Linked DNA regions of Rhinolophus ferrumequinum. The main gene of each other region encodes a partner of the protein of the gene in region 2 in a complex. Links are inferred from orthologs where the notes say so. Each region holds a gene or a part of one and is shown on either strand. Other genes may lie near its edges.

Region 1 (7,968 bases), on a different chromosome or scaffold from region 2:
GGTCAGGGAGCCCCCGTTCCCCAGCCTTGACTCCAGATCCCTTCTTTCAGTATAGGGGAGATCCTGGCCATCTGGTAGAGGAAGGGCTGGACTGGTGGGGAGTTTAAAGGAAGGTGAAGGGTAAGAGCTGAGGTAGGAAGTGAGGGTTGGGGCCTGGGGAGCCTCGAATGTTCGCTTATTCTGATGGGCAGTGGGGAGCCATGGAAGGTTATTAAGCATGAAGGAAGGGGACTGTATTTAAAGAAACTGAAGGCAGGGAGAGCTGTGAGAGGATCAGATCTCTAATACAGGGTCATCAGTGGGGCAGGGGAGGTGACAGGAAGAGGAGAGGGTAGGCCTGAGAGACATACTCTGGTAAAAAGGGCTGACTTGGGAAGGAAGCAGGTGTGGGGGTAAGGAGGATTGAGGGGTCCCTGACGGGGTGGAGCCTCAGGCTTGTTTGGTGGATGGAGGGCAGGACAGCCTGGGGTGGAAGGCGATGAGTTGGATATTGTCCGGCTTGAGTCCAAGGTGTTTGGGGGCTTCTGGGAGCAAGTCCAGGGAGCAGCTGGAAATGTGGGGTTTACCGAAAAGGAGCCACAGGATCGGAGGGGCTGTTTTGGCTAACATTCCCAAACTGGGAAGGGGTCACCCCAGGATCTTCCCAGGGTCCCCAGGGTCCGTAACCCTATGAAGTCTGTACTTTCATATCAAGGGACCAGCAAAGATGCAGGCCCTTTCTTTCTCCTGTGGGATCCCAGGTTCTGGGCTTGGCAGAGAGATCAGCTACCTTCTTGGGGATCAGTGCTCTTCTTCGGGACATTGTAGCCATCCCTCTGCCGCAGAGCCCGGCAGCCACTAGGGCTCTGCAACCAGCATCTTCAAGTCCAAGTTTCTGCTTTGTAGAGGGACCATCTCTAACCAGCGTTAGCCTTCCCGATCCTCCAACACAAGGGATTCTCTATTAGCTGCTTGGAACCCACATTTATTGGGCAGAGACTGTGTCAGGCCCAGTGCCCACACTTTACAGGTTTTCTGTCACTTAATCCTCACAATGACCCTTGTTGGGATGGGGTACTATTATTATCCTTTCCATTTTACAGTGGAAGGAAGCAATCGAAGCTTCCAGGGCCTTGCCCCTCTCCACTGTGGGGGTGGGTGGTGGGTCAGGGTTCGCACCCCTCGGTGAGAGCGGCAAGGCTACTGTGTGACCTGGACAGGCATGGCAGGTCACACAGTATCATCTATACTGAGCATCATCTATAGAGTAAGGGACCCATCCCCGCCACAAACCCCCTCTCAACCGCTGACTTCAGGTCTGCAGTTCCAGCTTCCAGGACTTTCCCAGCCCCCATCGCGGTTCTGTTCCTCCTGGCCCAGCTTCTTTGGGAACAGCCAGGCCTAGGCTGTGCTCCTGGCAGCTCTGCCACCTTGGGCTCTGGTCCGGGGGTGGTCCCTGGCGGTGAGGGGGACGGGCAGAAGCTGGTATTGTTCAGGCTAAGATCCTGGGCATCAGGAGACCCCCCGGCTCCCATCTCTGTGCTCCACATTAGGGTAGGCAGGGCCCTTTGGAAAGGGGTGGCTTGAGGTTTTAATCACTTTATCAATGTTTGTTTGTGTAATTCAGCCTCGAGATGCTTTTCCCTCCATCTGTCCCCACCATCTGCTCCCATCAGGATTTTCCAAACCATTTGGGACCAAAGAGGGAGGGTGGGGGCTGGGCCTCTTAGGGAAGTGGGGAGGGGCTACCTCCACTTACCATATTGAGAGGCTTCTAGGGAGGGGCCTGGGCTCCTGAGTCAGACAGAACTGGGTTCAGAGCCTGACACTGTCTCTTTATGTATTACCTTAGGCTGGTGACTTCACTTCTCTGAAGCCTCAGTCTCCACATCTGTAAAATGGAAGTAACATTATTGACTCCTCAGGTTTAGTGCAGACCAAGTGAGATGACACATGCAAAGCACTCTGTACACAGTAGGTACTCAAGAGCTATGTGGTCCCCTCTCCACTCATCCCCCACTTGCTTCTCTCTCTGACATCCTGGGAGCTGGTCTGTCCCTTTTTATTGCTAGACGGGGGTAGCCACCCCTCACGTCACTCCTCACATGTTGAGGACATCCCCTTCCTTGGGACTTGCCCTCTCTTCCCTCTCCCATGGACCCTGGCTACTGCTCAGTTCCTTCAACAACCACCTTTTACATTTACCCTAAGATGTATCTCTTCTCTCTCCTAGAGGCCTCAGTCTGAGGTGGAAGGGGGCTGAGTATCATCCGCAAGGACACCTCCACCCCACTCTGCAAAGGGCCTTCATAGAAAGCAAGTCAACAGGGTGCAGGGTTCCAGGGCCACTGGGGCCTCATCTTGTGTCTGCTCATGTCTAGAATTTCAGGCCAGAGGGGGCCAGTGAGGCAGTAAATGAGGCCTGTCATGTCAGTACTCTGATCTGGGGGGATGTCAAGGCACCAAGGTCATCTGTCTAACCTTTCTGGTCAGAAAGATGAAGAGACTTACTCCAAGTTATCTAGAAGTGAGGGACCCAGGCCTCCTGACAGCTGCCCCTCTGCCCCCCTTTCTGGGCTATATCTCAAGACATGAGGTCTTGGGCCAAGGGCCTTGGCGTGCAATATGGGGAACTCCCAGCCTTCCCCTTTTGCTCAGGGGGGCCTCCCATTGCTTCTTAGTCCCCTGGGAGGGGAGAGGTGGCTGATGGGAAGTAACCAGCCAAGCCTACCAGGGCCCAAACTCTACTTCCAGATCCATCCTACTCATTCGAGGTGCAAGGAAAGTCAAAGGGAGGTGGGGTACCCAGCGTAATGAGAAGACATGGTCCCACCTTCAGAAGCCCCATCTATTGGAGAGACAGGATGCAGACTGGGGGTCCTGAAGGCAGGGCATCAGAGTCACCCACACAGAGAAAAAAAACAGTGGGGCTAAGAGAAGTAGGCTCCTGAGCCAAGGAGTCAGCCTCGAGGAGGTGAAGCTGGGTCAGGGAAGTGGGAGGAAGCAGAGAGAGTGGCTCAGCAGCCCCCGCGAGGGTAAATTGAGACCCACAAAGATGGAGAGTAGGAGCCAGAGCAGGCTGTGAAGATTCAGAATCAGACAGGCGGGAGAGGAAGGAGGAGAGGGAGGAGGCCTCCTCTCTCTGCCTCAAGCACAGCAGACCCTCCAGGCCAGGTGGGGAGAGTGGAGAGAGCTTGTCATTCAGGAGGCCTGGGGGGAGGGCTGAGCAGCAATTCTCTCCCCACCCCCAGGTCCTCATGCAGGAAGCAGCTGGGAACCACCCACAAATGTCTAGGTCTCTCCACCTGGCGGTCCCAACCCCAGAGCCAAGGTACATAGAGGAACTGGCTCTGGAGGGCCCAGCTGCCTTCCCAGTCCCTCACAGCCTGGCTGCCCAACTCCTCCAGTTGAGAACTCCCCTTCCCATTTGCCCTCAAGCAGAGGTACTAAGGCTTGATCTGGGAACCTGGAGGTGGCTGCCATGATTTGGGAGGAGCTGTCCAGTCAGAAGACAAATGCTGTCAGCTGACCTTCAAAGTATAATAGCTCCAGAAACCAGACCCCTCTCTGCCACCTTGGTCATCTATCACCCTGAGTTTTCTCCCTGCTCCCGCCTTGGCCCCCACTCCTCGAAGTCTGTTCTTGACAGAATGCCCTAGTAAGCGTGACCTGGATGTCAGACTCTCTCACTCTGCTCAAAGCCCCAAGAGCTTCCCATCTCACCTGGAATAAAATGGAAAGTCCTTGGCATGATTCTAAGCACTGCCACCATCCCAGCCTCTTCACACGGATCTCAACTTTTTCCCAAACACTTACCTATTACATTGTAGAACTGACTTGTTTACTGTCCACCCCTTTAACCCCACTGCTAAGACTTGCTGGGCACAGAACTAGTGCCTGATAAATATGTGTGAAATGAATGGATGAGGGCACATGGATTCAGATCCAAGCCTTCCATTCTTTAGCTGTGAAACAACGGAAAAAATCATTTAACTCCTCTGAACCTGTTTCCTCATCTGTGAAGTGGGGACAGTAAGGACCACCTCTTAGAGAAAGGACAAAATTTGAGCCCAAGATGTGGAGATTGTTGCTGAAGCTGGGGGAAGGGGAGTGCAACCCCCGTTCTGGCAGGAGGAGCTGATAGGGGTGGGTAACTCTAGAAAGGGGCTGTCCAGTCTGCAAGCAGGGGACCAGCCCACCTCAGGACCCCCCCTAGCTGGAGATAGACGCTCCCCAGCCCTCACTGGCAGAGGGCTGGGGAGGAAAGGAGGGGTTTCCTTGATTGGGGGAGGGGAGTGGGAGGAGCAGTTTAGATCAATGTTGGGAAGTGGGATTCATTGGGAGGGGTCCCGGGAATGAGATCCGGAGTGGCGGGCCGGAGATGGAGGGTGGGCTCTCTAAGGTGGAGGTGGGGTGGGGGCGCGCCTGGAGGAGAGAGCGCTGCCCCCTCCCAGAAGACCCCCCAGCTCAGTTCCGTAGTTGAGGCGCTGGGGGTGGGTAGGGAGGGCACACTTGAACCGCCAGGATCTGGATTCCGCTCGCCGGGCAACGTGCGGCTTCGCACCCAAGTATGGGTAGGGGAGGAAGGTGGTGGAGCGTCCGGGGGTAGTCCCAGCTTAAGAAAGAGTCTCTGGGCACTGACCCCCCGCCACCCCATTCAAACTACCTTAGTGGACATGCTGAGGATATGGGGACCTCGGGCCTCCTCCCCCGGCATGTGCTCCCTCGTGAGGGGGGCCGGGAAGTGAAGGCGTCCCTTTCCCTCCCCTGGAAAAGGGCGGGGGCGGAGCCTAGTCCGTCGCTCCCCCCGCCCCCAGGGCTGGAGGAGTGAGGGAGGAACGGGGACCCCCCCCAAGGGAGGGACTCCGGGCGAACGCCGCGGGGCGTCTCCCTCGCAGTCCCTCTCCCCGCCCCCCGCCCGCCCTTCAGGCCCGTCTCCGCTGCCGCGCGCCGCAGCAGCGCCGCCTTCCCTGCGCAGTCGGTGGCTCCACGTCGCTGGGTGAGTGGGGGCCGCTTTGGCCGGGCTGGGGAATGCGGGGAGGGGGCAACCCCGAGGGAGGGAGCCACGTCCAGGGCTCCCCAGCCCCGCCGCTGCCTCGTCTCCCGGGAACCCTCTCTCCGGGTGCTCAGGGAGTGGGGGCTCCTCAGGGTTATCGCGTGGAGCTCTCCAGGGTCCTGACCGCTGAGTGACCAGCCGGGAGGAGTCTCGTTACAGCCGCCTCGGAGCGCCCCCTCCAGGAGGGGCCACACGCCGGGTGCTCTCCGAGTGCTGAAAGGATTGAGGCGGGGGCTCAGGGCGAAAGATGGGGAGAGAGGTTCAGAGAGGGTCCCCGGGGCAGGTTTCTCAGGTCGAGCTATGGGTCCCTCCCATTTTGGGAACGGGGGGTCTTTGCGAGACAACAGAATGTTTTACCACCCTCGTTTCCAAGTCTTCCAACTGGGAGGGGCAACTCTGGGTGGCAGGGAAGAGGGAGCATTCTAAGACCTCTCTTGCTCAACGCATCTCTCTGCCCTCGCCCTGATGACCCAGTTGCTTGGACCTTCAGGAGAGGATTAAGGGACACTGTCCGCCGCCCCAGCCCCAGGTATTTCCTCAGTCTCCTCCCACACACTTGTTCAATGTGTCCTCATCCGGGGGCAGAAGAGGCTGATTTAGAAAGGAGGGTGACCAATTTACAGACACACGCATGTGACACACTGCTAAGGACACACACAGACCCCCAAATGGCCACACAGACACATCCCCCCCACACCGTCATAGGTGCATACCTAGTCACAGGCACAGACATGTACATGCACAGATATGGAAACACATGGGGAGATAAATGCAGTGCAGAACCCAGGGACACACAGGCATGCATGAGCACATGCACTCACACACACGCTCATCTACATGTGCACAGAGCTTTGTGCAAATGCACACAAAAGGAACCCCCCTCATCATCTCACAGTCCCAAGTTGGGGGGCGATTCACCTGCACACACTCCCACATCCCTGCCCAGAACTGCCTGGCTGTCTCCTCTCCTTTGCCATCCCCTCGGTCCTCCTCACTCTAAGCTCCTGCACTGAGGGGACCTTTCTGGACTAGATGAAAGGTAAGTGTTGGCGGAGGGTTGGCAGGCTATGAGTCTCTCTGGAAAAGGGGTCCATTGTAAGTCTGAGAAGCATCAAAACTCCCTTTCCTGGGACCTAACGGCACCCCTGGGAAGAGAAAGATGGCAAGGGTGCCCGACGGTCCCATGTGCAGCTGGCCATGTGAGAGGTGTCAACATGGGAGTTGGTTTGTGGTGGCATGTTTGAGACATGTGGGATCGTGGGTTGGTGTGTCTTGATGCACAGGGTATGGGTGTTGTGCCTGCGTGGTGCTGAGTGTCAGTACATGTGAGATGTGGAACAGAGGGAATGTTGTGTGTGGAGGTGACCCATGGATGGGTGTGGGCTGGTATGTGTGTGGCATGGGACCCAGTGTGTGGATTTGGTGAGTTGTGTAGCATATGTGTATGTATTCATGTGTGTTGTGCATGAGTTTTGTAGCATCTGGTACATGTAAATCACATTTAACACTTATGTAGTATTTATATGTGCAGGAATTGTTCTAAATGCTTCACATGTATTAACTAATTTAATCCTCACAACAACGAGGTAGGTACTATTACTCCCACTTTACAGATGAGGCAGAGAGAGTTTAAGGAACTTGCCCAAGGTCACATAGCTGATAAGGGCAGAGCTGGGATTTAAACCCAGGTGGTCTGGCTCGGGAGCCCAGGCTAACACTTACCTTATGCCACCCTATGCCAGGCACAAGTGTGTGGGTGAACAGGCCAGTGTCTGGGCTGCAGGTGTATTTTGTGGTGAGCAGGCATATGGGAGACAATGAGGGGACAGTGGGTAGGAAGGAGGAGGAGGAGGCTTTTCTGCACCTCCCTGGGCAACTCTGGAAGTCAGCCCGGCCATTCCATGGCTGTAGGACCTGAACTAGCTCACCTCAATTCCTTGATCCTGCCTTCTCCTCTGTAAAATGGGTCTAATCCCCAGGCTTCACTTTGTGATGGTGAAAGGATACACACCTGTGAAGGCTCAGCGGCTGCCCTGAGAAGGGCTTCAGTAAATGTGAACCCTCTTCTCTTCCTCTGTCTCCAGGCCTGTTCCCTGGGGAAGTGTAAGGTCTGGGAAAATGGTGTGGAGCACATCACAAAGGCAGGATGCCTGGGTGCAGGCTGCGTGACCTTGGGGTGGCTGGTGTCTGGGGGCCCACCTGGAGTGGTGTCAAGGGACCAGGAGGGCCTGATCTCTCCTCTCCATTCCTTGACCCCCTTGGGGACATAGGTGGGACTTGGCTCGGTGGCCATGGGCAAGCAGAACAGCAAGCTGCGGCCGGAGATGCTGCAGGACCTCCGGGAGAATACAGAGTTCTCAGAGCTGGAGCTGCAGGAGTGGTACAAGGGCTTCCTCAAGGACTGCCCCACCGGCATCCTCAATGTGGATGAGTTCAAGAAGATCTACGCCAACTTCTTCCCCTACGGTGACGCCTCCAAGTTCGCTGAACACGTCTTCCGCACCTTCGACACCAACAGCGATGGCACAATCGACTTCCGGGAGTTCATCATTGCACTGAGTGTGACCTCGCGTGGCCGCCTGGAGCAGAAGCTCATGTGGGCCTTCAGCATGTATGACCTGGACGGCAATGGCTACATCAGCCGTGAGGAGATGCTCGAGATTGTGCAGGTGGGCCCCTGGGCCCCTCAGAGTGCCAGGCACAGGGCCCAGCAGCTTGCACCCACCATCCCTTTTTATCCTCTCGACAGCCCTTGTGGGTAGGTAGTGGCAGGTGCTATTCTTACAGCCTCTTTATTAGGAAATAATTTCCAATTTAAAGAAAAGTTAAGTAAACTCTCATATACCCTTTACCCAGATTCATCAATTAACATTTGACCACATTTGCTTTATCATTATGTGTGTGTGTATGCGTGTTTGTAATGTTTTGTTGTT
Region 2 (7,379 bases):
AAAGTCTGCTTTCTCCAAGCCTTTTCTAACAATGCTGCCCCAAAAGCTTCATCCCTGCCCTGCCCCCAACTTCAGTTAACTTATCTACTGTATCTCGCTCATTTCATCATAGCCAGTCAGGCCCTGTTATTTTTTTTCAAGCGAGGCTGGTTTTTCCAATTTCACTGTAAGTACCTTCTGGGCAGGGAACGCCTACCACACTCTCTCTTAAATCCCGCCTCACCAAGCAGAAGGCTGGGCCCACTGTGCTGCAGGCTCATGTGTCAGGAGATGTCATAGGAAGGAAGGGTACCCTTCCTGAAAGTGAGCTCCAGGGGACAGGAAGCTGCCAAAGACCATCTCCCTATGCTTTAGTTCACGACTGAGCCCACCAGCCCTGTTCTTACTCAGAGGAGAAAAACTGTCTTCCCCAGGACAGTCAGTCTGCTCCCTAGAGTATGATCTTTCACCAGCAAAAATGCGATCCTCTCTCTCCCCAGCTAACAATCAGTAGCTCCTGAGTCTTCAGGATAAACCCCAAACACCCCATCATGGTCTGACTCCTGCCTCTCCAGCCTCAACTTCCAAAATGCTCCTCACACGCTAAGCCCAAGGCGCATCATCCTCATTGCAATACTTCAAAAGCACCCTACTCAGGCAGCTGGACTGTCGTACCTTCAGCTTAGGACGTCCACCCGTTTGTCTGCTTCCCCTATGAAAACTCAGCTCAGCCGTCTTTTCCTCCAGGACGCCTTTCTTCAGGTTGAGTCCCTCCTCTAGGCTCCTGCTACGTCCTGTGTTCCACCGCTCTCTCATGCATTGTTATGTAACTGTCAGTCTATGCACCCACCGACTCATGGAATGAACCCAGGACGGGGACGGTGTGGTTCTATCCCTGCTTTTCTAGTTCCTGTCAAAGAGCCTGACATGTCACTAGTGCTCCAGGGTGTTGAAAAATGAACCACAACCTGGCTCATGCCTTCCCAGGCCCATTAGAAGAAAAGGTATCTCTGACATGCTGCTGGGAGTACAGCAAGGGCCTTGATTTGTATAGACACCATGAGAAAGTTTTTGTCACAGTAGCAATGCTGACTTCCTGGGAAGGGAAATACAAATTTATTAGGTATTAACTGTCCCAGATACTTTACTAAGTGTTCTGTGTACACTGTCTCATTTTACAGAGAGGACACTGAGGCTCAGAGAGGAGAAGTGACTTGCCTAAGGCCACTCATTAGGTAAAAGCAGAGCCAGGATTTAGAACTCAGGGAGTCAGACTCTGAAGCATGTTCTCTTAACCACTATATTCTACTGTCCCCCGTAACCGCGAAGGGATAATGGCACTATGTACACTAGGAGCAAATTCCAGAACCTGTAGAACTTCACAGGCACATCTCTTGGTCACCCTCGGGGCCCTGCTGTACCCCACTACCTTCATATAACGCTCCTGCCAGAATGGGTGGGGAGGAAGAGCCAGCAGAGCTCGATGGGAGAATCCTACTATTCTAGTGTGATGAGGCGCTCAGAAAGCTGCAAATGTTTACCTTGGAAAAAATAAGAATTTTAGGGAACCATATATTAATTGTAGAATATGTAACAACCATCTAGAAGGACACAGGATTATGTTTCTACATGATCCCATAAGGCAGAACTTGGCCAACTTTCCACCAATGAGAGCTGTCGGAAAATGGAAGGCTGTCTCTTATGGGGGAGTGGGGAGGAGCAAATACAAGAACTCTTGGGTGGGCGGATGGCTCAGTTGGTTAGAGCACGAGCTCTGAACAACAGGGTTGCTGGTTCGATTCCCACATGGGCCCGTGAGCTGCGCCCTCCACAACTAGATTGAAGGACAACGACTTGGAGCTGATGGGCCCTGGAGAAACACACTGTTCCCCAATTAAAAAAAAACAAACAAACTTCTTGGAACCCCAAGAAAGCATCCATAGACCCAATTTAGGAAACTATATTGCACTGCTTTGGGTGATCATTCTGCATCAATGTGACTGTAAACTCAAAAGTAAACTTAGGCACTAAAATCACAAGCGCTTATTTAAAAAATGTGTCACATATACTCAATTTCTTTTTAAAACATAAAATTGCAATTTTATTAAAGAGAAATCATGGATCCTACAAAATCTAAGTGAGGATTCTAACTTGAAAACTCCTAATAGAGAGGGAATAAAAGCCTTTCAGGTCCTCTCTAACTCTGAGATTCTGAGGTGCTGGATTCCAGAACTTTGGGCTTGTACTTGTATTCTGAGCTTGGTTACTACAGTCATACAGCCTGCCTACTTCCCAGAAAAGGCTCTCCACTGAGCAAAAACTGCTCAGTTTGCTGTACAAAGCAAAGCAGATACTTAAGCTTTGAATTCCAAGAATGGCAGGGTCCATAGAAACCAGCACCTTCATTCCCTATAATTTCTTCCTTGTCATGTTTCATTAGCCTTCATTTAATCTCTGCATATCTGTGAGAAAAGAAAATATCGGGTTGGGAATTAGAATACCAGATGTGGGTTCTGGTTCTGCAACTAGGTATCACTGCGACTTTTTTTTTTTAATTCAATTTATTCGGGTGACAATGGTTAGTAAAATTACATAGGTTTCAAGTGTACAATTCTATAAAACATCATCTATATATCACATTGGGTGTTTATTTATTTATTTTGCAAGCACAATTTTCTTCAAGTCCCCTTCCCTATCTACTTCACAAGGTCACATGAGCTACAACAGGTGAAACACTTACAAAAGGTTTCACCTGCAGCTGCACATGAGACCTTGTGTTGACAGCAGTCTTGGCCCTGGAGACATGAGTGTAGGTGATGGCTCTTAGCCTGAGCTGGTGTCTCTGACTGCCTTCTAAAGTCAAGGATAAATGATTGGGGATTATTTGCTGATTTGGACATTTACTGCTGCTCTTGCCACTGATACAAAAAACGAAGAGTCGACTATATTTAGCTCTGTTCTATTTGTTTTGTTTGACTCAGTCAGATGGGGACTGTTTCTTACCGCACTGCGAGCTTCCCAAAGGCAAAGATCATTTCCCTTTTTGGCCAAGTTGCTCTCTGATGTTAAGAACTTGTCCTTCCCTCACCACCCACCACAACCCAACCAGAATGGGAAATCTCCCGGAATGGGAACCCTGTCTTTGGGCTCTCTCCTCAAAACTCAGATATGCTTGGGGTGGCCCATTGGCTCACTTGGTTAAGAGCGGGGTGCTGGTAGCACCAAGACTGCCAGTTTGATCCCTACATGAGCCTTCCTTAAAAACAAACAAACAAACAAACAAACACACAAGAAACCAACTCAGGTAGGATTACTCACTCACTGGGGTGAGACCCAAGGGATTGAAGCATTCAGTCGAGGCTAAAAAGAGACTAAGTGTTGCAATTACCTTCTAATAACTGATTTCCATGGGTATATGTAACAGACAATGGGACTTACGTAGCGCTAAAGAATTCAGAGGGCCTAAAAGCAGACAGATCCAGACTCGTATACTGACTTTGCCATTTATTAACTATGTGACTGTGCAATTTACCAACCAATCTGGGCCACATTTCTTCGTCTGTGAAAAACGGAAACAGCGCCCACGTTCCAGGCTTGTTGAGAGGATTAAATGAAAAATACGAAAAGCCTTACCACAGAGCCTGGTATATACATGCTCAATAATGAGTAACTGTGGAGGGCTGCTGTGGAGAATGAAAGGGAGAGTATGCGGAAGAGCTTCGTGGAGACCGGTACCGGAGGCCCCGAGCGTCAGGGCCTGACCGAGCAGTCAAGACTCCTGGCTCAGAATCAGTGCTCCGCACAGCACAATTCACCCCCTCTCGTGAGGCCTTGAATTACCAACCACCACGGGCCGCCCAGAGTTCCGAATGAGGAAAGGCGGCCAGTAGTCAACTGGGCTTTTTGAAGGAAAGCCTCTCAGCGAAGGCCCGACGCATTCAGGCTGCCGATGGGCAGCCCCACGGGCCTCAAGCCCTCTTACTTACCCAGGAGTGATAACGGTCCTTAACGGCAGCCAATAACGGCTCACCTGTGGCCCAAGCACTAGCAAGGGCAGGCTGAGGTCAAACCTTGGATTTTGGAGCCTCCACGCCCGAACCCTAAACTTGCATCGAACTACAATTCCCAGCATGCCACGCGGCCCGCCGGTCGCGGAGCGTCGGCCCCGCCAACTTTGGATCTCTCCTTTCCTCAAAGCGCGGCCGAATGCCCGGGACTTCCGAGTAATGCTGATCCCCCAACCTAGGACAGCCTCCCTTCATGATTTCTGGGTACTGTAGTGTACCTTGTTCCGGTTTCCCGGGAATGAGCCGCTCCTAGTTACGGCTCCCTTCGCCACAAAAACTACAAAACCCAGAATATAGCGCAAGTTCCCCTCGTCCAATAGGAACCCCCCATGTAGCGAGGCGTGGAGGCCGGCTCTCGCAACTCAAGATGGCGGACGAGAGTGAGACAGCAGTGAAGTCGCCGGCACCTCCGCGGCCGCAGATGATGGAAGGGAACGGAAACGGCCATGAGCACTGCAGCGATTGCGAGAACGAGGAGGACAACAGCTACAACCGGGGGTAACGAGATCCTCGGAGTCCAATTCCCTTCCAGTCCCCCACAACCTGGGTCTCTGGGGTGCGGGGAAGTCACCGGGAGCTTAGTGTAACCCCACCCCCATATTCTTATTGGCTGAGACGTTGGGATCCTGCCTGGCGATTGGTTGCTGTCTTTGTCATTTACCAGGGTGGGTGCTCATATATTAAGGATCGGAGACATTGAATACTTTTATTATATAAAAGTTCTGTGTAATGTTCCACTCATATGCTTACGGCGCGTCCGGGGAAAAGAGCCTGTTGGACGATAGTTTTCGATGGCACAACACGGGTCAATATAACACTACAGTTCAAAGGGAACGTTACTTATAGAGGTGTTGTGTGAACAACGTGACTAGCAATAAACGAATAATAAAACATTTCGCTGCAGTTCACCTTCAATGAGGAAATTCACCAGGCTATACAGACCATAATTATGTTGTAAAATGTCACTACCAGAGAATCTCAAAATATAAACTTACCTTATAAACCCTACGTAATTACTGTATAGTGTTTTGATGTAAGGTGTCCGTTGCTCCACATAATCCATAAGTTTCCTAAACAGTATATAATTCTTCCAGCATCTTTGTTAACTTTGCGAAGTAGCCTCAAGCTTCAAGAAATTGAGTAATGGTCTTTCTTGAATAGTGTACTTTAGGGTTTTTCCTGCTAGCAACTATCTGTTCCTTGGGCAGAAGAAATGCATCAGGCGTTTGTTTGAGTGTTGAGTTCTATTTCCACATCAGTTTTCACTCCTGTAAGCCACACCCTGTCATTCCTCTTTCTTCATTGTTACAGTGGCTGGTTCTGACACTCACTCTCCCTATCTATATATTTACAAATATGTTTTTAAACGGAAAGTCATGAGAGTCTTTTGGATGTATAACTTGCTGTGTCTGTGATCTGTCTGATTTTCATAGCCATCTTGTCATTTGCAGTATTGATGGTAGTCCTGGAGGTAAAGGTAGGAGGTAGAGGTCTTTGGATAAACTTTTAAAAAAATTCTGCTACCTTGCAGAGATGGGAGAATATAGGATTATTTAAATGATTTATAATTTGCCTGTGGTGAATCCTTAGGTTAAAAGATCTAGCTTTTATGTTCTACAGTCAGCAGTAAAAATGAGAAGAATGTAGAGGAAGAGGAAGCTTGTCAAATTTGGTTTTTATAAGACTATTCTATAGCTATTACTCACAATAGGTCTAATGTAATAAAAGCTTTGTTTTGAAGTTTGAGTGTCCTAAGAATGGAAGAGCTGAGAAAGAGAAAATAGGAACAGGAAGAAGGGAAAGTGCAGCCCTGAGTAGAGATCCCGTCACAGATGAGAGTTGTTGAATTAGAAGTCGTTTCAGAAGTGAAAGTACAGCTTCTTTGCTCTTTGTGTAGCTGCTTTTATTTTTCTCTGCCAAACTGTTGCCCTGACCAGTGTCTATAGCTCTTTAATTAGTTTGGTTCCCTATAATCTATGAATTATTTTGCAAAACTGCTTGGCAGAAAGTTCTGTGTTTTATTTATAGTACAGCAAAGTGGTAACCTAAAAAAAACTTTGAAGGTTTTTTTTTTTCTTTTTTTTTTTTGGTTGTTTTTGTGTATGATTATGGTCTGGGTGAACAAATTAAGTTCATTAGCATCCCAAATGTAGAGGTCTTTATAGTAAATGAGTTAGGAGGTGGCAGGTGAAAAGCAGAGGACCCAGCCTGGAGGACAGAACCTAGTTCTGGCATTTGGATTCTGAAGTAGAGTCAACATTTTTCCACTAAGTATCAGAGGAAACGGTTTGGGGAAGAAACTGTGTGGCACGGTGGGAAAAACATAGACTCTAGAGTCGTTCAATTCTGGGTTCAAAGTCTGGTGCTGATACTTAATAGTAAACTTAACCTCCAGTTGTGGGGATTAAATGAGATAACATCTGGAATTCAGTCTCCCCCCTTCCTTCTATTCTTTCTTCAAATCTCTGTCCTCCTTCCCCCAGCTTGCCTCCCTGCCCTTACACATACTGTACTTTCGTAGCTTTTTATCTTGACAGTAGTTAAATAACATGTGTCTAGCCCCTGCCTCACCTGAAGGTGTCTTAGAACAGGGTTCATGTCTTTGGGATTCCTGGCACTTAGTGTTAATGAATATTTGCTGGATGAATGAATGGCAAATGTTAAAGTCCTTAGCCCAGTGTTGGTAGAGTTTCATTTCTTCTCACTGAGGGGAAGATTTTCCTTATATATACACTTTCACTTTCTTTCCCCAAATAAGTGTCATTGTAGGCCTTGCTACACTTTTTATGAAATACCTGCAGAAATCAAGGATTCTCCAATTTACTGTGAAAGTTTTCCACTGTTTTTTGGCTTCCTGGAAATTTTCTTGTCTTATAATACCGGGGGTGCCAAAAAAAATGTACGAGTGTACACATTTTAAGAGATGTTAACACTTTTGGTCAACGTTGCTCAAGCAGTAGTTTGCGGTAATCAGAAGTGCCTGGAAGCTGATGGTAACCACTTTGAGCACCTCTTATAATTGCAGAAGTCAAACGTGACTTGTATTCATCTTTTGTTATAGGTATATATTAACACAGTTTTTTCCTTTCTTAATATGTGTATACATTTTTTTGGCACCCTCTATATTTAAAATGTTTTCAAAAGTGATATACGAATTGAAGGGGAATAGTTTCTTTCGATGTTACTGATTCTAAAGTATAATATTTGCAATTAGATTATGATAATTCAAACTAACCCGTATTCTCTTAGGCTTTTCTTTCAGGATGCGCTCACAGTGCTTTACGCTAATGAAAGGAGCTACATTCGTGCACTGGAATCATAGGAAGTGCAGTT
Region 3 (7,334 bases), on a different chromosome or scaffold from region 2:
TTCTGCATCTTGCTTTATTCCCCCAATCTATTTTAGAGTGTTCCAAGTCAGCATATTGAGTATTTGTTCCTTTTTCGTCACTGTATATAGTATTCTACGAGATGGATGTATTGTCACTCATTTATGTTCCTCTATGGATGGACTCCTTTCCAATCACAGGTGGTTCTTCCTCCCCTCCCCCCACACACACATTAAAATGAGTTCCTCTGAGTGGGATTGCTGGGTCAAAGGCTCTGGACATTTGCAATTTTGAGAGCTGTTGCCTAATTGCCCTCTGTAAGGATTGCCTCAGTTTACACTTTCAAGAAGCACCGTGTACGAAAATATCTATAATGTCTTTGCAAACCTTCTGTAGACAGCTTTTTATTGTTGAACAATATTCCACTCTGTGGCTGAAGCAGTTTATACTAGCTGATCTGTCACTAGGGGTGGGGAAGTTGCTGTCACGGGGGCTGGGGAAGTTGTTGCCAGTCTCTCTTTTTAAAAAAATATTTATTGGGGAAAAGTGTGTTTCTCCAGGGCCCATCAGCTCCAAGTTATTGCCCTTCAATCTAGTTGTGGAGGGTGCAGCTCAGCTCCAAGTCCAGTTGCCGTTTTCAATCTTTAGTTGCAAGGGGGTACAGCCCACCATCCCATGCGGGAATTGAACCGGCAACCGTGTTGTTCAGAGGTTGTACTCTAACAAACTGAGCCATCCGGCTGCCCCTCTGGAAGCTCAGCAGCAGCTCATTGTCTTCAATCTGGCTGTGGAGGGCGCAGCTCACTGGCCCATGTGGGAATCAAACCAGCAACCCTATTGTTCAGAGCTCGCGCTCTAACCAACTGAGCCATCTGTCTGCCCTGTTGCCAGTCTTGATGATGGAAAATCCTCAGGTCTAAGAAAAGACTGCAGGGGCTGGGCCCACCTTCCAGCCCTTGGGCTGACTCTGGCCCGTTCCTCACCCCAGCTGTCTCCTGACCTCCTGGCTCCCTACCCCTTTCCAGTCCAATGCCAGTCCTAGTTGTTGGCATGTTTGCTTGTTTTCCTAAAGACACATGTAATGAAAGCCCATGACCCAGCTCCTCCCTGGCCTGTGACACTTTCATGCCACGCCCCCGCCCAGAACCCAGCACTCAGGCCAGGATGGACCGGCACATTCTGAATTCCCCAGAATTTGACACATAACCTCCTTGCCTTTGCCCACATGTTCCTTCTATCTGGATTCCGTTCTCTCCGTTCTCTCCTACGTGCCTGTCTGTCCTCAGCTCCTGCCACCTTCTGGTAAAGCCCTCATGACCTTTCCCTTCCTCCATGTGGACTGGAATTCGGACTGGTCACCCCAGAGCCTGAAAACAGGACAGTACTGGCAGCCAGCCAGCAACCTGGGGAGGGTCCAGGTTAGACTGCAGAGGTTTAGAGGAGATGGAGCTGGCCTCCCTAGTGTCGGAGAGCCCCGGAAAACCCAGAGTGTGCTGGGTACATGATGGTCAGGATGTGTAGACCAACCTGGGCAGGGGAAAGGCTGAACTACAGTAGTCAGATCAAGCTCGGGAGTCAGGGATGAGTCCGAGAGCGGGGGTTTGACCTGGGCTCCCCAACCTGAGGATCCCCAAACCTCTGCTTCCATATAAATAAATCACCGTTTAGCTCTGGGAACCACTTCCACCCATCTTGCCCCTCAACACAGCTGGCCTCAACTCAGATGTTGCCTGTGCTGTATCAGCTCCCCAACATTTCCTGGGGATCTGTCAGTCAAAACATCTCCCCATTAGGAAATCCATCTAAATCCAGAGGTTTCGTCCCTCCTCTTTCAACCCCTTCCCTCAGAACTCCAAAGCTCAAGGAGGGCCCTGCTGACCCTCAGACTGGCCTCCAGGGGGCACCAGTGTCAATGCCAACGTTAGACATTGCAGCTATCGCACTTTCTGACCTGGAAAAGGACTATCCTGCACACCGGCTTGGAGAACCAGGCTGAGGGGAGGGGGAACAGGGGAAACTTAAGGAGAAGGTAGATGTAAAGAGGGCGAGGACAGGCTTGCAGCATACTGGGAGTGCTCCAGGGCTGGGGGTGGGGCAGGGGTCACCATCACACATGCTTCTCAAACCTCGGCAATCCCCTCTGCCTTTGGGGTGTCTGCTGGTCCAGGGAACTCTCAGCTGCCCTAGTTCACCTCACTACATCTCAACCTGGAGTTTGATTTCCCTCTTTGCTGTTGCCCCATTGGGTATTATCAAAGCCACTGGGATGGACCTATCACTTTACCAGAATTTTTCTTGGGGCAAGATCAGTATCTCAGATTGCCCAAGGTTCAGAGGCCTCCTGAGTGTCCTGGGATCCCCTTGTCCACATGTACCAACAGTCTGGGGGCCCTCCACAAGGCAGCATCCTAGCCTACATCCTCTATGAGCAAAATTTCTGCCCCACCATGGGGCAGCCAGAGCTTTGAGCCCAATCCCCAGGGCAAAGGGCACCACGGCAGACTCCCCACATGTCAGGGCTGCACTCACCCCATGTCAGGGAATCTCCCCAGTTGTTGGCCTCCTTAGCCTCCATGCTGCCTTGTCCCCCAGTCTCATCTCTGACACCCCAAACTCAGCAGCCCTTACACCACAACCTGAGCACCTTGTCATGGTGTCCTGGAGGCAGCCCCAGCCAGTGGCCATTACATTTACCCCCATGTTTCCTGGGCAACCTGGGGCAGAGGGGTTCATTCATTGAATGGGTCACAGAGCAAAACTCCAACTCTGCGCTGGAGAGCCTGAGGCCTTGGCAGAGCCTGGCAGGTAAGCCCAGGACAGACTAGCCAACCTGCCAGGATTCAAATCTATGCTCTGAAACTCACCGGCTGTGTGGCCTTGGGGCATCCCTAACCTCTCTGAACCTTGGTTTCCCCATCTGTAAATGGAGATGATACAAAGAGAACCTTCCTCCTCAGGCTGTTATGAAGATTAAATGAATAAATGCACATGAAGCCACAGCCGTGGTTATGGGGTACACACACTGTCTTCCTGGCTGGGGGATGGGGAGTGGAGTGAGATGGGGGTGCAGTCAGCATGTGTCTGGAATGGGGGCAGGCTGGTTGTAGGCCAACGGAACCAGATCCAAGCAATGCCATTTGCCCAGTGATGGGCCTCTCCTATGACAGTGGCAACAATCACACTGTGAAAACCATAGAGGGCTGGCCTGATCAGAGTGACTGTCTCCCTCCAGCCCTAGACCCCACACCTACCTGCGTGAGTGTGACCCATGCAGGTCCTGGTCCTGCCCCTGGGTGAGACTTAGCCTATGAGCTTCCCTATCTGTAAAATGAGAGGGGAGTTGTGGTGGCCCCCCGGGGTGAGGTGGGGCATAAATAAAGGACTCTCTCTGAAGACTGGAGCAGCCTGGCACCTGGGACTGTTACTGCTGTTGTTACTGTCATCCCTACAGGAGAAGAGCAAGGCACAGAAAGTAGAGAGGCAACAAAAACTCGAGCCACCAGAAAAGAGCAATAAAAGGACAACAGAGTTGGTGGGCCCTGATGTGTGTAGTGAGTGGTAGATGTGACATCCCTTCCCCGGAATGTATCATTCATTCATTTCCCCCATAGTCAGAATTCCAGTTGGCTGGAGGGACAAAACCACTACGCAAAGATCTGGAGGGACAAAACCACTACGCAAAGATCTGGATAGTCAGGAAAATGAAACACAAGAGGTCCAAGAGTCAGAATATCAGGTCCTGATGGAGTCTGGGGAGGCTGGTCAAGGAGGGCTTCCTGGAGGAGGGGACAGAACGCCAGGATGCACCAGGATTTATGGGGACCCAGGAAGTTCTCCTGGTATAATGACAGGTGGGAAAGAGAAAATGTAATAAAATAACATTTAAAATAGAGCAAATTGTGTTTGGGGACAGGGGAGGGAGGGAGCTAGGAGACCTGGAAGACTGAATCCCCAAAGCGGGTCAAGGTATCTAGGGGGCAGGCGGGAGTGATTTGGGTTTTCTTTCTTGGAGAGGCTTCTCAGGTGACTTAACTTCCCCCACGCCGCCCACGGATGGTTCGAAGACTTACTAAAGAAAGAAAAGGAAAAAGAATCAGACCCGTTGCGCGCCCCAGCTTGGCGCCTCGGAGGGTCGCGAGGATCTCCGGGATCCCAGACTCCGCCGGGGCGTCAAGAGCCGCGAGAGCCCCCGGCTGCCTCCTCACACCTCGAGACCCGCGTGGGGACTCAGAGACCGCCGGCTGACCCCTGACCCTGGAGCCCCCACCTTCACGGCCCGGCGGGGCGGGGCTGCGCGCGCGGGCTCCCTGGCCGCAGTGTCGCCGCAGCGCCAGCCCCGCCCCCGCCCGCTCCTTCCGCCCCCCCCGTTCCCCCCCCGCCCCGCGGCCGCGGCCCCGTAGCGGCTCCAGAGCGGACGCCTGCGTCCAACCCAGGTGAGCGCCCGCCCCCAGCTCCCGGGACCCCGAACCCGCCACCCGATTCGGTCCCCGGGTCCCTATCCCGCAGCCTCCGCACTCCGAGCTAGCGCGCGCCCTCGCGGGTCTCGGAACCCGGGCGGGCGCTCTGGAGGCTGGGGGTCTGCAGCCGAGGAAAGAGAGACAAGCCAGGGCAGAAGCGCCACTCTTCCTTCTCCCCTCCCCTTCAGGGTCCTCCCCGGCTCGCCGCCGCGTGGCCCTACTGTGTGTTGTGTGTCATTCCCCCTTCCTGGGCCACCCGGTCTGGTGGGGGGACCTGGACGATCTGTGGAGACTACTTGAAAGGGCATCTCAGATAGAGGAACAGCACGTGCAAAGGCAGGGAGAGTGCACCGGAGGTTTGCGCCTAAGCCCTGTAGGGGAGGAGGTGAGGACCGCCTGCTCCCCAACTCCAGTGCCTGTCTGAGGAGCTTGGATGCCATCCAAGAAGGGCTGAAAGCCACTGACGGCCTGCGCTGGTCAGGAGCCCCCAGGGTTGGTGTAGGAAGGGCCCATCAGATCCTTGGTGAAGAGTGGGACTAGGGGGAGAGAGGGGCTGTGCAGAGAAGTCCGGAGAGGCTTCTCTCCCCAGCCTCCGCCAGCTGGGGCTCTGGGTGGGGAGGTCTTGGACAGGACACAGGCTCCTGATGGATAGTTAGCACACAGGCAGTTACAACTTTTTGGCCATTGGGCAGCTGGTGGGCAATGGACAGCATTCTGCCAAAACATGGGGTCCCCTCCTGCCATGCCCCTGGCAAGGACTTTTGCCTTTGAGTGGGGGTATCTGGGCCTGCAGGAGGCAGGAGGGCACCAAACCTGCCTAGCACACAGTAGGCCTGGAGAAGGTTCCATCCCCAGCAAATCTGTTTCCAGGCCCAAGGCCCTGGAGTTTCCAGATACCTGGGCACCTGGAAAGGGAGGGAACAGCCTAGACAGGCACCTGGTGGCAAGTCCCACCTTTTCTGGGATCTGTGGTCCAGCAGGTGAGGCCTGATGCCAGGCAGGAAGGAAGTAGTCAGGGCTGAGCCAGAGGTGAAGCCAGATCTGGGGAGGGGCCCCCTTGTGCCCAGGGAGAGGGCATGAGGGGTGGGTGGTGGCCACATTTTACCAATCTGCCTTGGCGACAACTGGGGCAGAGAGCATGGGTGTACAGGCAGGTGGCCTTTGGGTGCCACAGCCTCTTGGCCTGTAATGGGCACCTCTAGAGCAGGTAAGATCAGGTGCCAGGCAGTAGGTGGTCCTTCCCCAACCTTTTCGTCCTGTCTTCTTGGCCCCCTTGCTCTGAGGCACCTACCCAGGGCCCTTGCTGGGATCTGGGATAGACCCAGTAAGCCTCAGCCCCACTGGAGTTAGACTTCAGGAAGAACTTTCAAGGGAAACAAAGGAGATGAGAGTGGGATGGACAGTCGTAAACAGGGCAGGTACACTTTTGTCCTGGGCCTCCCGAAGTCCAGTCTATAAGCTGCATCTTCCGGAAGGTCCATCCTGTGGCTTTGAGGGCTCCTTGGCTACAGGGATCTCTGCTGACCTAGTGACCCCTCCCCCAGCCCAGTGGCTTGCAGGGTGATATCGGGGCTTCTTGGGTCCCTACCCTTCTTTGAACTAAGTAGGAAAGGGAGTAGGAGGCCACCCAGATACCCCTACCTGCTGCGTGACCTTGGTAAGCCCTTGGCTCCTCAGTTTCTCCATTTGATGCAGGGCATGACCTCAGCACCACGGGCTTGTGAAGAGTGAGGGTGGGGGGTGAGAGCTCATGGCTGCCGGGCATGGCCTGTGGCCGGACTGTGGCCTCCCTTTCCCGCCCAACCCCATCAGGCCTGGGCTGGCTGCCCACTTCTGTTCACCATGGAGCTGGGTTTCCCTGGGGACCAGTGGACTGACCCAGCCCCGCCCCTTCCAGCCCCTCCTGGTGGCAGCTCACACTGGGAGGAGGGGTGAAGGCTGCCTCCTGGACCCCTGCCCCCTTGCCCTGCCTTTCAGGGCCAGGCAGCCTGCATCCACTGTTGGGCTGGGAACAAGAAGCAGTGGCTGCCCATGGAAGAGGTATGTGTAGAGGGGCTACTGGCCAGGGTGGGTGCTGGGGCCAGGGACAACTAAATGTCACTCCATCGTAGTGAAGAGAAACCCGAGGTCCAGGAGGGTTCTGATCTGCCCAAATGGGCCTGGGCTTTGACCCCAGGCCTGGTGGGCTCCCCGGAGAAAGGAGTGTCCCAGGGCTCCCAGGCTGTGGGATGCTGAGGGGGCAGCAGAAAGCAGGGAAGATTTGCTGGACAAGGCAGCGGTGGGGTTGGACCTAAAAGTCTGGCTAAGTTGGAACAGAGGGGCTCCTTTGGCAAAGGTGGGAGGGGGCAGTGAGGGTGCTGAGCACGGAGGGCCTTAAAATGAAGGTGTTTCTCTGGGATCTGGTCCCCTACATGCAACAATCGCCAGCTCCAATGTGGGCCTCTTCCAGAAGCTCCCCCACCATTTGTGTCTCTCTCTGTGTCTCTACCCATATAACCTATCTAAGCCCTAGGCCCTATCGACACCCCCCTGTCCCCTCACCGCAGGCCTGCAGGTCCTGAAGGTAGCTCCAGCTGGGATGGTGATGGAAGCTCCAGCATTTCTAAGGGCTGTGGGGGGTCGAGCCCCACCGGGGGCACCCTAACCTCCCATAGCCCACCATCTGTGCGCCTGCCTCCTGCCCATCCGAGGGCCACTCGCCATGGGCGGCTGCTTCTCCAAACCTAAGCCAGGTAACTCCTCTCTTTTTGCTACCTCCTCCCCCCTCCCTCCTCCTGTCACCTTCCTCCTCCCCCTCCCCCGCTGCCTCCAAAGTAGGTCAGGCTGGGCGGCTGCCGGCTCCGAATGTTAATGCGAGGCAGGCAGGAGGGGGTGAGGGGCCTGGAGTCTTCGGGCCCCCTTCCAGGGACTCCCACTCT
Region 4 (7,468 bases), on a different chromosome or scaffold from region 2:
CACTGCCCGTGCATGGGCTGGCGTTCGCAGCCTGCGGAAGCATGTTGTGGGGATCACCGGGCAAATCAGCTGGGCTGACCCCAGCGTGGTTATCCGGTGCCCACTGTGTGCCAGGCACCACGGGACGTCCGATACAGTGAAGGAGCTGGTCACAGCTGGGCTCTCTCCAGCACTGCCTGCCCTGTGAATATACTTACTAAAGGCGAGCCGCTTCACCCCCGTCCATTTAACCCTCAGCAGGCTTCAGGGTGTCCCACTTACCTCGACGAAATGCCGCCTTTGCTGCTCTACATCCTTTCTCCCTGAGAAGTGGGACTTGGACACCAATGGGTTCCTGTGGATATTTCTTCCGCAGGACGATGGTTCTTCAAATGCTAACTGGAGTTAAGGAAAAAAACAGGTTCAATGGCCAAATAAATGTGGAAAATACTTAAATAAAACCGATTTCTTTCTTGCAGGGCTTCTCAAAGCCTTTGAGTAAATACAAATGTGCAAGGTGACTCTTGGAGAGCTTGGTTATAGCATGCCACATTCCCCAAAAGCATTTGACCAGGGAATCCTTCTTCCCACAGGACACGTGTACCATACAGACTGGTTTTTTCTCAGGCGCTACTGGATTATATACTTTCGACAATCTTTTGAATTTGGAGAAAAAATATGATTAAAAACTACTTAATTAAAATACACAGTGACGCCCACGGAGTTTTTCCCTCACACAGTTGGGATGATCCCGTAGGTTGTGAAAGCTTTTTGTGCTTCCTGTGCTGTAAGCAGACCTATACCATGTGACTAGATTTCCAGCTGTGCTATAATTTAATATACAGGATCCCATGGTCTGATAGGCTAATCCCTCATTCTGGATATGTAGGTCGCTTCCATTTTTGTTGTTGTAAATACTGCTGCAGTAACATCACCGAGGCTTAAATTTGTACAGATCTCTAATTGTTGGCTTAGGTTGATTTCCTAGAAGTGGAATTGCTGAGTCCGAAAATATGGATATTTATTGGCAAACTGTCCCTCACAAAGGTTGTACCAACTTGCACCTTGCCTGGCGGCGTCTGGATGCCCATTTTCTCGCTCCTTTGCCAACACTGGGTATGATCATTAACTGTAATTTTTCCCCCCAATTCATTTTGTGCTTCTCTGATGACTTGTAAGGGAGGTCTCTCCTGTGGACTAGCGGCTGGCATTTGCTCTTGTTCTTGTCACCTATTCGGGTGCTTTCCCCAACTTTCTATTGAGGGATCATCTTTTTCTTATGAGCTTAGCAAGTTCATAATAGGTTAAAGATATGAACTCTTTGTCATGTGCTTATGCGAGTAGTTTTGATCCTCATAAACACTCGCCCATGAGAACATGGGAAGCGATGTGCCCAAAGTGACAGGACCAGGACTCAACCTGAGCCGCAGGGCATTGAGCTTCATGCTGGGGGTTCAGTGGGACCCCTCCTCCTCCCCCACGCCCTCCCCACCTCACCTGGATCCCTGTTCCCACCCAGCTCCCAGGAACAAAAAGGACTTCCTTGGACAGGCCTCCTTCAATCACATGAAGTGCTGCAAAAGGACCAGGTGCCATGTGGGTAGGTATAGGTGTTGGGACTTGAGCTCACCTGGGGGATCCAGGAAGGCTCCATGGAGGTGATGTTTAAATGGAGACTTGAAAGTTCACCCAAGACAGTGCTATCCAACAGAAAAATAATGTGAGCCGCATGTGTAACCTAAAATTTTGTAGTAAGGCACTTTAAAACAAAAGAAATAGGTGAAATAAATTTTAATAGTATATTTAATTCATTATATCCAAAAAATCAGTTTAATATGTATAATCACATTTTTAAAAATATTAATGAGCTATTTTTATTCTTTTATTTTATATGATCCTTGGAAATCTGGTGTGTGTTTTTTGCTTACCACACCTCCACTGGGACTGGCCACATTTCAATGGTCACATGGGTGTGTGTGCGAGGGGTTTCTGTGTAAGATTTTGAAGGTCTAGGCATTCACTACAATGGGGGGGTGAGATCAGCCCAGAGTGCGGGGGTCGGGGTGGGGAAAGTGGGAGATAGTGGGGGGACAACTGCTTGTTAGAGGAACCAAGAGATGAGGCAGGAGAGGAGGCCCTGAGTGAGCCTTCTGGAGGCTTCCCCTTCTTCAGGTCCATGTCCAAATATCACCTTCTCAGTGAGTCTTCCCTTACCCTTAAATAGCTACCACCTCCCACTCCAGCACTTCCCATCCCCCTTCCCTTCCTACTTTTATGTTTTCACCTCTGGCATTTTACTCATGGATTTTATTATTATGTTGCTCTCCCCTCACTAAATTGTAAGCTCCATGACAGCACGGGTTTTGCCTATATGCTCTGGGGCCTGGCACATAGTAGGTGCTCATAAATATTTGCTGAACGATAGAGTGAATCTGCAAAGCTTCCAGGAAACTCCCTGACTCCCCTCTTCCACAGATGTTTCTGTGCATAGTCCCCCAGCACCCTTGCCATTCCCCTTGTGGCGTTTGTCACCACTGTGGTTTGGAGACCCCTGTGGGGCACGTCGGGGGAGGGGTGGTTTGTGAGGACGTGGACATGGGTCATGGCAGTGTCCCCAGGACCCAGCACAGTGCCTGGCACATGGGCAGTGGGCAAGAAATACAGGAGCATTGGGATTTCTATGGGGCTTTAATGCTACCACTGTCACTGTCCTGACCAGGCCCTGGTCCCCATGCTGGTTCCCCCTCCTCCCAGGCGGGATGCTCAGGCTGGTCTGGCCGATTCAGAGCCCCTCAGACCCAGGCAAGGCCTTCAGGGGAAAAGCTGGAATGGAGGTGTTTGGGGATGGGGCATTTGGAGGCTGAGAAGCATGCCTGGCCAGTCAGGCTTTCTTTCTCTGTCTCCCCAGCTACTCTGTGCTTCCCATCCTGAGGTCTGAACACTGCCAAAGTGGAGAGAAAAAGAGACCCTGCCCACACTTCATCCTCGCCTCACCCTCCCCTGCTTTGTCCACCCCCAGGCGCCCAGCACCCTCATGCCTTCCTCATGCGAGGTTTGCAGAGCGGCTACCGGTGCCTTCTAGGTGCTGGAGATACACCTACAGATAAGACAAGAATCCTGCGCTCTGGGGGTTCGTAGTCTAGTGGGGGAGACAGCAGAAACACAATACATAAAACACGTTCTCTCTGTGATAGTTGCTAAGGAAAAAAAACGATAAAGCTGAACCCGGGATAGGAAAAGTGGCAACACATTCACATTGTACATGGGGGAGCACACTGTACATGGGGGAGGGCGGGAAGAGTCTTTCCCTCGCAGCCTCGCCTCACGCCCATCCTCTTGCCTCTGTCCATCCAGGTGGAGTCCTGTCCACTGGCCTGGCCTTAACTCCTGCCCAACACCTGCAGGAAGCGACCTCCACATGCAGGCCAGAGAAGTAGAAAAGGCAGAGCTGACCCTGTCATCACTCGCCTTAAATCCCACAGGCCTAGCTCCGTGGAGGAGAGGGCTTCCCCTTCTTTCTGGCCTCAGATCATACATGCCCTGCCCCTGGAGCCCCTGGGCCAGGAGGGCTGTCCCTCTGGGCTCAGGCGTCCTTCCCTCCTCCAGGATTTCAGGGCCTTGATCACTTTGCCAATCACTCTCTCCCCGTCCCCCTGGGCTTGGAGGTAACCTTCCCCCAGGCCGCGGTAGGTGCCCCCACTATAAGATGTGACATCTTGCACCGCAATGCCGGTCCCCGCCCGCGCCACCCCGTAAGGGCTGGGGCCGCGCTTGTCCTGTGCACAGCTGTGGCCCCAGCGCCCAGCAAATCCGTGTCGAATGAATGAAATTCGCCGAGCAGAGACTCGGCCTCATTCACGTCAGTCTTCCGGGCCCTCCCCAGCCCTGCTCCGCGGTGCGGGGGGAGGGGGGGAACTGGAATGCCCGGGATCGATTCAAGGCGGATGGCAGCGTGACCCCCCCTCCCGCCCCGGGACGCAGTGAGGCAAGGGAGCGCCCCTCTGCCGCCCCAGCTCAGTGTTCAGGGGGCGGCGGATCCACGGGCGCAGGCCGGGCGGGGCGGGTGCGGGGCGGGAGGAGGTGCCGGGCGCTGAGTGGCGGCTCCGGGTCCACCCCTGGCGCGCGGGTGCGGGCGGGAGGCGGGAGGCGGGAGGCGGGGAGCGCAGGGGCGGCGGCGCAGGGAGCGCAGCAGCGAGCATGTGCCGCGGAGCCCAGTAACCAGGGACGACCGGGCAACACCGCGGCCGCGTCGGCGCCCAACCCAGCGCAGCTCGCGCCGCGGCGCCGGGAGAGGGCGGCGGCCGACGGCCGGGCCTGCCCAGCGGCTGCCCCTCGCGCCCGGGCCCGCGCCGCGGCCAGGGCAGTTGAGGCGCCGCCAGACGCGCAGGCAGCGCAGCGCCCCGCGCCGGAGCTCCGCGCCCGGGCCGCGCGGGCCCGGCGCAGACAAAGGCGCGGCCCGGCCCGGCCCCGCTCGGCCCGCCGGCCTCCGTGCGCCCAGCCCCGGCCGCCCCGGCCCGCGTCGGCCGAACCGTTCCCTCTGGGCGCCCCGCCGGGGTCGGGCCCGGGGACAGGGGCCCGCGGCTGCCGAGGATGGGGAAATCCAACAGCAAGTTGAAGCCCGAAGTTGTGGAGGAGCTGACCAGGAAAACCTACTGTGAGTGCGCGCCTGGGACCCCCTCCCCGCGCCCCCGCGCCCCTCCCCCACGCGTGGTCTCTCCACCCAAACCCCTTGTCCCCTCTGCGGGCCCACTCCCCACCCTCTTCAACGCCGCAACCCTCCCTGGGTCATTCCCTGTCCTGCCTTCGATCCGGCCCCCCCACCCCCCGAAGGCCCGGGTTGCACCCTCAGCCCCACACCTGGCCCTATTGTTCTAGGGCACCCAGCCCCCCACGCTCGGGACGTGTGCCGCCTGTCAGCGTCTGCGGGGCCACCCCCAGGCGTGGAGGGAAAGCCCCAGCCCACCCTAGGCCCCCTCTCTGCAGAGCTGTCCGAAAGGGCAGGGGTGTGCAAGGGCCAGGGGCGGTGGTCCGGGCAGGGGGCGCCTGGTTTCCAGGTGGCTCTGGCTGCGCGGAGCCGACTGGCACGAGCGCGGCGGGGCGGGTGATTCATGCATCACGATGCCGCCGCCGTTGCTGCTGCTGCCGCTGCCGGTACTGCGAGGTTGGCCTGTCGCCCCCTCCTTGGCCTCCGTGTGTGGGGGGTGGCGAGACTTGTCAGAGAGCTCGTGGCAGCAGCTGCATCCAAGGGTCCTGGGCACCCTGTTGGCTGCAGGATTTACAGGCTGAATTCTCCTCTGGCCCTGAATTCACCTCCCCCCTCCTACCTCTATCTGCTAAACTGGGAAATGGGTTTATACAGCCATGGGTGATCTGCTCCCTCTCAGCATTTAACCGTCTGAGGCACCCCAAAGCGGTGGGTCTGTCCATTTCCGGCTTCTCTGAATCTGTCCGAGTGTGTATCTCTCCACTTGCCCAACTTCACAACTCTACAGTCCCTCGCAGCTCTAATTTCTCCTTACCAGACTTCTCCCTTCCCTGCATGCAGCCTCTTGGCAGATGCGCTGACGTGTTAGGGGTTAATGGCACTACGTCCTGACCCACGGGTCTTTCTTTTTGGGAGACAGGGTGGACAGCTTCCAGCCTGGTAGGACTTCTGCCTGGACGTCTGACTTGGAAAGGGGCAGGTGTCCCTGGGCTTGGGTTGGAATTCAGAACCCTACCCGGGCACCTGCGTGGGTCCAGCCCCTCTGCACCCTCCCTGGAGGCAGCAGATTGACTGCCAGTCCTGTGCGTTGATGGAGGCTTGGGAGGCAGGTTCTGGTGGTGCATTGCACAACCTCTGCTCCCTCCCCCATCGGTCTTCTGGGCACATTTGCAGGTCTGTCCAAGCCCACGCTTCAGCTCCATGTCCCTCGCCCCCACGTGCTTGGAACAAAGGGGGCTTTCCTAAGTGGGCGGCTAGTCTGCCGAGAGGTCCTGGCCCTTCTCCAGTGGAATTCTGCAGCAAGGAGCTCATCTTCCAGTAGCTGCTCCTTGAAGGGGGAAGGCTCCAAGGACCAGGAACTCCATCTTTGCTCCTCTGACCCTCTTATCAAGGTGGGTGGGTAGCCCTTCCCAGTTTGGCTGCTGGTTTGTGAGATTTGCTGGGCCTTCAGGCTCCATCCAGATATGGTCCATAGCTGTCAGCTGACAGCCTGCAGGCGGGACCTCCTGGGAGGCAGAGGGCACGTGGACTTTGCCATGAGATGTGGCCTTAGGCTGCACTGGCCTGTCTCCATCACGGGGAGCAGGGGAGCCACCTGTGAGCTGAATGAAGTCAGGTTTCCTGCTTATGGGGCACGTCACACGCTGAGCTCTTTGCATCGTTAGCACATTGAATCCTTGCAACAGCCCTGTGCATAGTGGGCACTGTTCCTCTCCCCATTTACAGATGAGAAACTAAGGCTCAAAGAGGTGAGTGGCATTCCCACGGGCCCACAGCCAGTCATTAGGCAGTGTTAGGACTTGAACTCAGGTCTGTCCATCTCCAAAGTTATGTCTCTTGAGAGACCGCAGTGCTCATGCCAAGAAGTCAGGAGGGACCTTTCTTCTGTGTGTCCCTGTCTGGTTTCTGCTATAAGACGTGGTGGTGGATTCTGGATGGGTAGGGACCTGGGGCAGCATTTTGTCCAGCCCCCTCTCTCCAGGCAGATCTGTCACCTTGGAGAGAAGTTGAGTCAACAAGGCTCTGTTAGGAACTGGCCTGGTGGTGCTGGGCTGCCTGGACTATTTTTAAATGCCTTTGGATACATAGAACAGTTTTGATCAAGGAGATAGTGGCTGTTTTTCCTAGAGCCCTTATTTGGGGTGGGCTGGTGGAGGTGGTGGGGGGTTCATTTTCTGATGCCGGCTCCCTCAGCACAGGCCTTGGTCTGTTTGGCTGTGTTGGCACTTAGTAGGTCCACAGGTTTGTTGAATGAAAAGTCTTCCAGCAGGAAGAGCAGACAGAGAAAGCCTCCAGCTTGTTCTAAGGCCCCAGATGGGCTTCCTTCTGATGGGGAGTGGAGCCATCTGCTCTTTGTTCAGGGGACTCTGTGTGTGGAGTCAGGAGAGGAGCGCTTAGGAAGGACTCCCAAATGTCAGAATCTCCTGGAGGGCTTGTTCAATAGCAGCAGGCCTGGGCTGGGTGGCCCTCCCGGATTTCTGATTCTTTAGGTCTAGGCTGGGCCCAAGAATTTGATCCTTGACAAGTGTTTGTCATGGAGAGCTAGATTCCCAGGACCCCCAGTTGAAGACTCACAGCTGGTCCTGGGGCCCTGGCATACATAAGCATCACCTGGTGTCCGAGGCCACCTTGGGCACAGCACAGCTGGCTACAACGCTGAGTGGGGCCCAGAGGGGAATCCCGATGGTCACACCTGAGTCAGTGTGACTACCACCCTTGGTGGTGCTCCTCCTGCTCCCTGGGAAAGACTGTCCTGGGGGTCTGTGTGTCAGGAAGCAGGAGATT

The links.
Region 1: the proteins of NMT1 (region 2) and HPCA are in contact, whole or in part, in a crystal structure (PDB 7OWM), measured with the Homo sapiens proteins. The link is inferred for Rhinolophus ferrumequinum from reciprocal best matches to the Homo sapiens genes NMT1 and HPCA. Residues at the interface, in NP_066565.1 of Homo sapiens: Tyr180, Val181, Glu182, Asp183, Asp184, Asp185, Met187, Phe188, Arg189, Phe190, Tyr192, Ile245, Asn246, Phe247, Thr282, Ala283, Gly284, Tyr296, His298, Ser300, Lys310, Phe311, Ser312, His313, Tyr401, Leu403, Ser405, Tyr420, Gly468, Ile469; in NP_002134.2 of Homo sapiens: Gly2, Lys3, Gln4, Asn5, Ser6, Lys7, Leu8, Arg9.
Region 3: the proteins of NMT1 (region 2) and AIFM3 are in contact, whole or in part, in a crystal structure (PDB 6SJZ), measured with the Homo sapiens proteins. The link is inferred for Rhinolophus ferrumequinum from reciprocal best matches to the Homo sapiens genes NMT1 and AIFM3. Residues at the interface, in NP_066565.1 of Homo sapiens: Tyr180, Val181, Glu182, Asp183, Asp184, Asp185, Phe188, Arg189, Phe190, Asn246, Thr282, Ala283, Gly284, Tyr296, His298, Phe311, Tyr401, Ser405, Ile469, Gly470, Asp471, Asn473, Leu474, Leu495, Gln496; in NP_001373743.1 of Homo sapiens: Gly2, Cys4, Phe5, Ser6, Lys7, Pro8.
Region 4: the proteins of NMT1 (region 2) and NCS1 are in contact, whole or in part, in a crystal structure (PDB 5O9S), measured with the Homo sapiens proteins. The link is inferred for Rhinolophus ferrumequinum from reciprocal best matches to the Homo sapiens genes NMT1 and NCS1. Residues at the interface, in NP_066565.1 of Homo sapiens: Tyr180, Val181, Glu182, Asp183, Asp184, Asp185, Met187, Phe188, Arg189, Phe190, Tyr192, Asn246, Thr282, Ala283, Gly284, Arg295, Tyr296, His298, Ser300, Lys310, Phe311, Ser312, Tyr401, Leu403, Ser405, Tyr420, Gly468, Ile469, Gly470, Asp471; in NP_055101.2 of Homo sapiens: Gly2, Lys3, Ser4, Asn5, Ser6, Lys7, Leu8, Lys9.

Annotation. Positions count from the first base shown.
Region 1 is NC_046292.1:22,515,649-22,523,616, forward strand, and holds the start of HPCA (neuron-specific calcium-binding protein hippocalcin), read left to right. Parts: upstream 1-4,959; 5' UTR 4,960-4,978; intron 4,979-5,509; exon of another isoform or gene 5,510-5,564; intron 5,565-7,305; 5' UTR 7,306-7,326; coding exon 7,327-7,704; intron 7,705-7,968. UniProt on the Homo sapiens protein: Calcium-binding protein that may play a role in the regulation of voltage-dependent calcium channels. May also play a role in cyclic-nucleotide-mediated signaling through the regulation of adenylate and guanylate cyclases.
Region 2 is NC_046304.1:39,890,507-39,897,885, forward strand, and holds the start of NMT1 (glycylpeptide N-tetradecanoyltransferase 1), read left to right. Parts: upstream 1-4,368; 5' UTR 4,369-4,413; coding exon 4,414-4,544; intron 4,545-7,379.
Region 3 is NC_046308.1:23,362,723-23,370,056, forward strand, and holds the start of AIFM3 (apoptosis-inducing factor 3), read left to right. Parts: upstream 1-4,329; 5' UTR 4,330-4,392; intron 4,393-4,631; exon of another isoform or gene 4,632-4,801; intron 4,802-6,393; 5' UTR 6,394-6,456; intron 6,457-6,962; 5' UTR 6,963-7,117; coding exon 7,118-7,148; intron 7,149-7,334. UniProt on the Homo sapiens protein: Induces apoptosis through a caspase dependent pathway. Reduces mitochondrial membrane potential.
Region 4 is NC_046295.1:78,469,649-78,477,116, forward strand, and holds the start of NCS1 (neuronal calcium sensor 1), read left to right. Parts: upstream 1-4,453; 5' UTR 4,454-4,569; coding exon 4,570-4,633; intron 4,634-7,468. UniProt on the Homo sapiens protein: Neuronal calcium sensor, regulator of G protein-coupled receptor phosphorylation in a calcium dependent manner. Directly regulates GRK1 (RHOK), but not GRK2 to GRK5. Can substitute for calmodulin. Stimulates PI4KB kinase activity.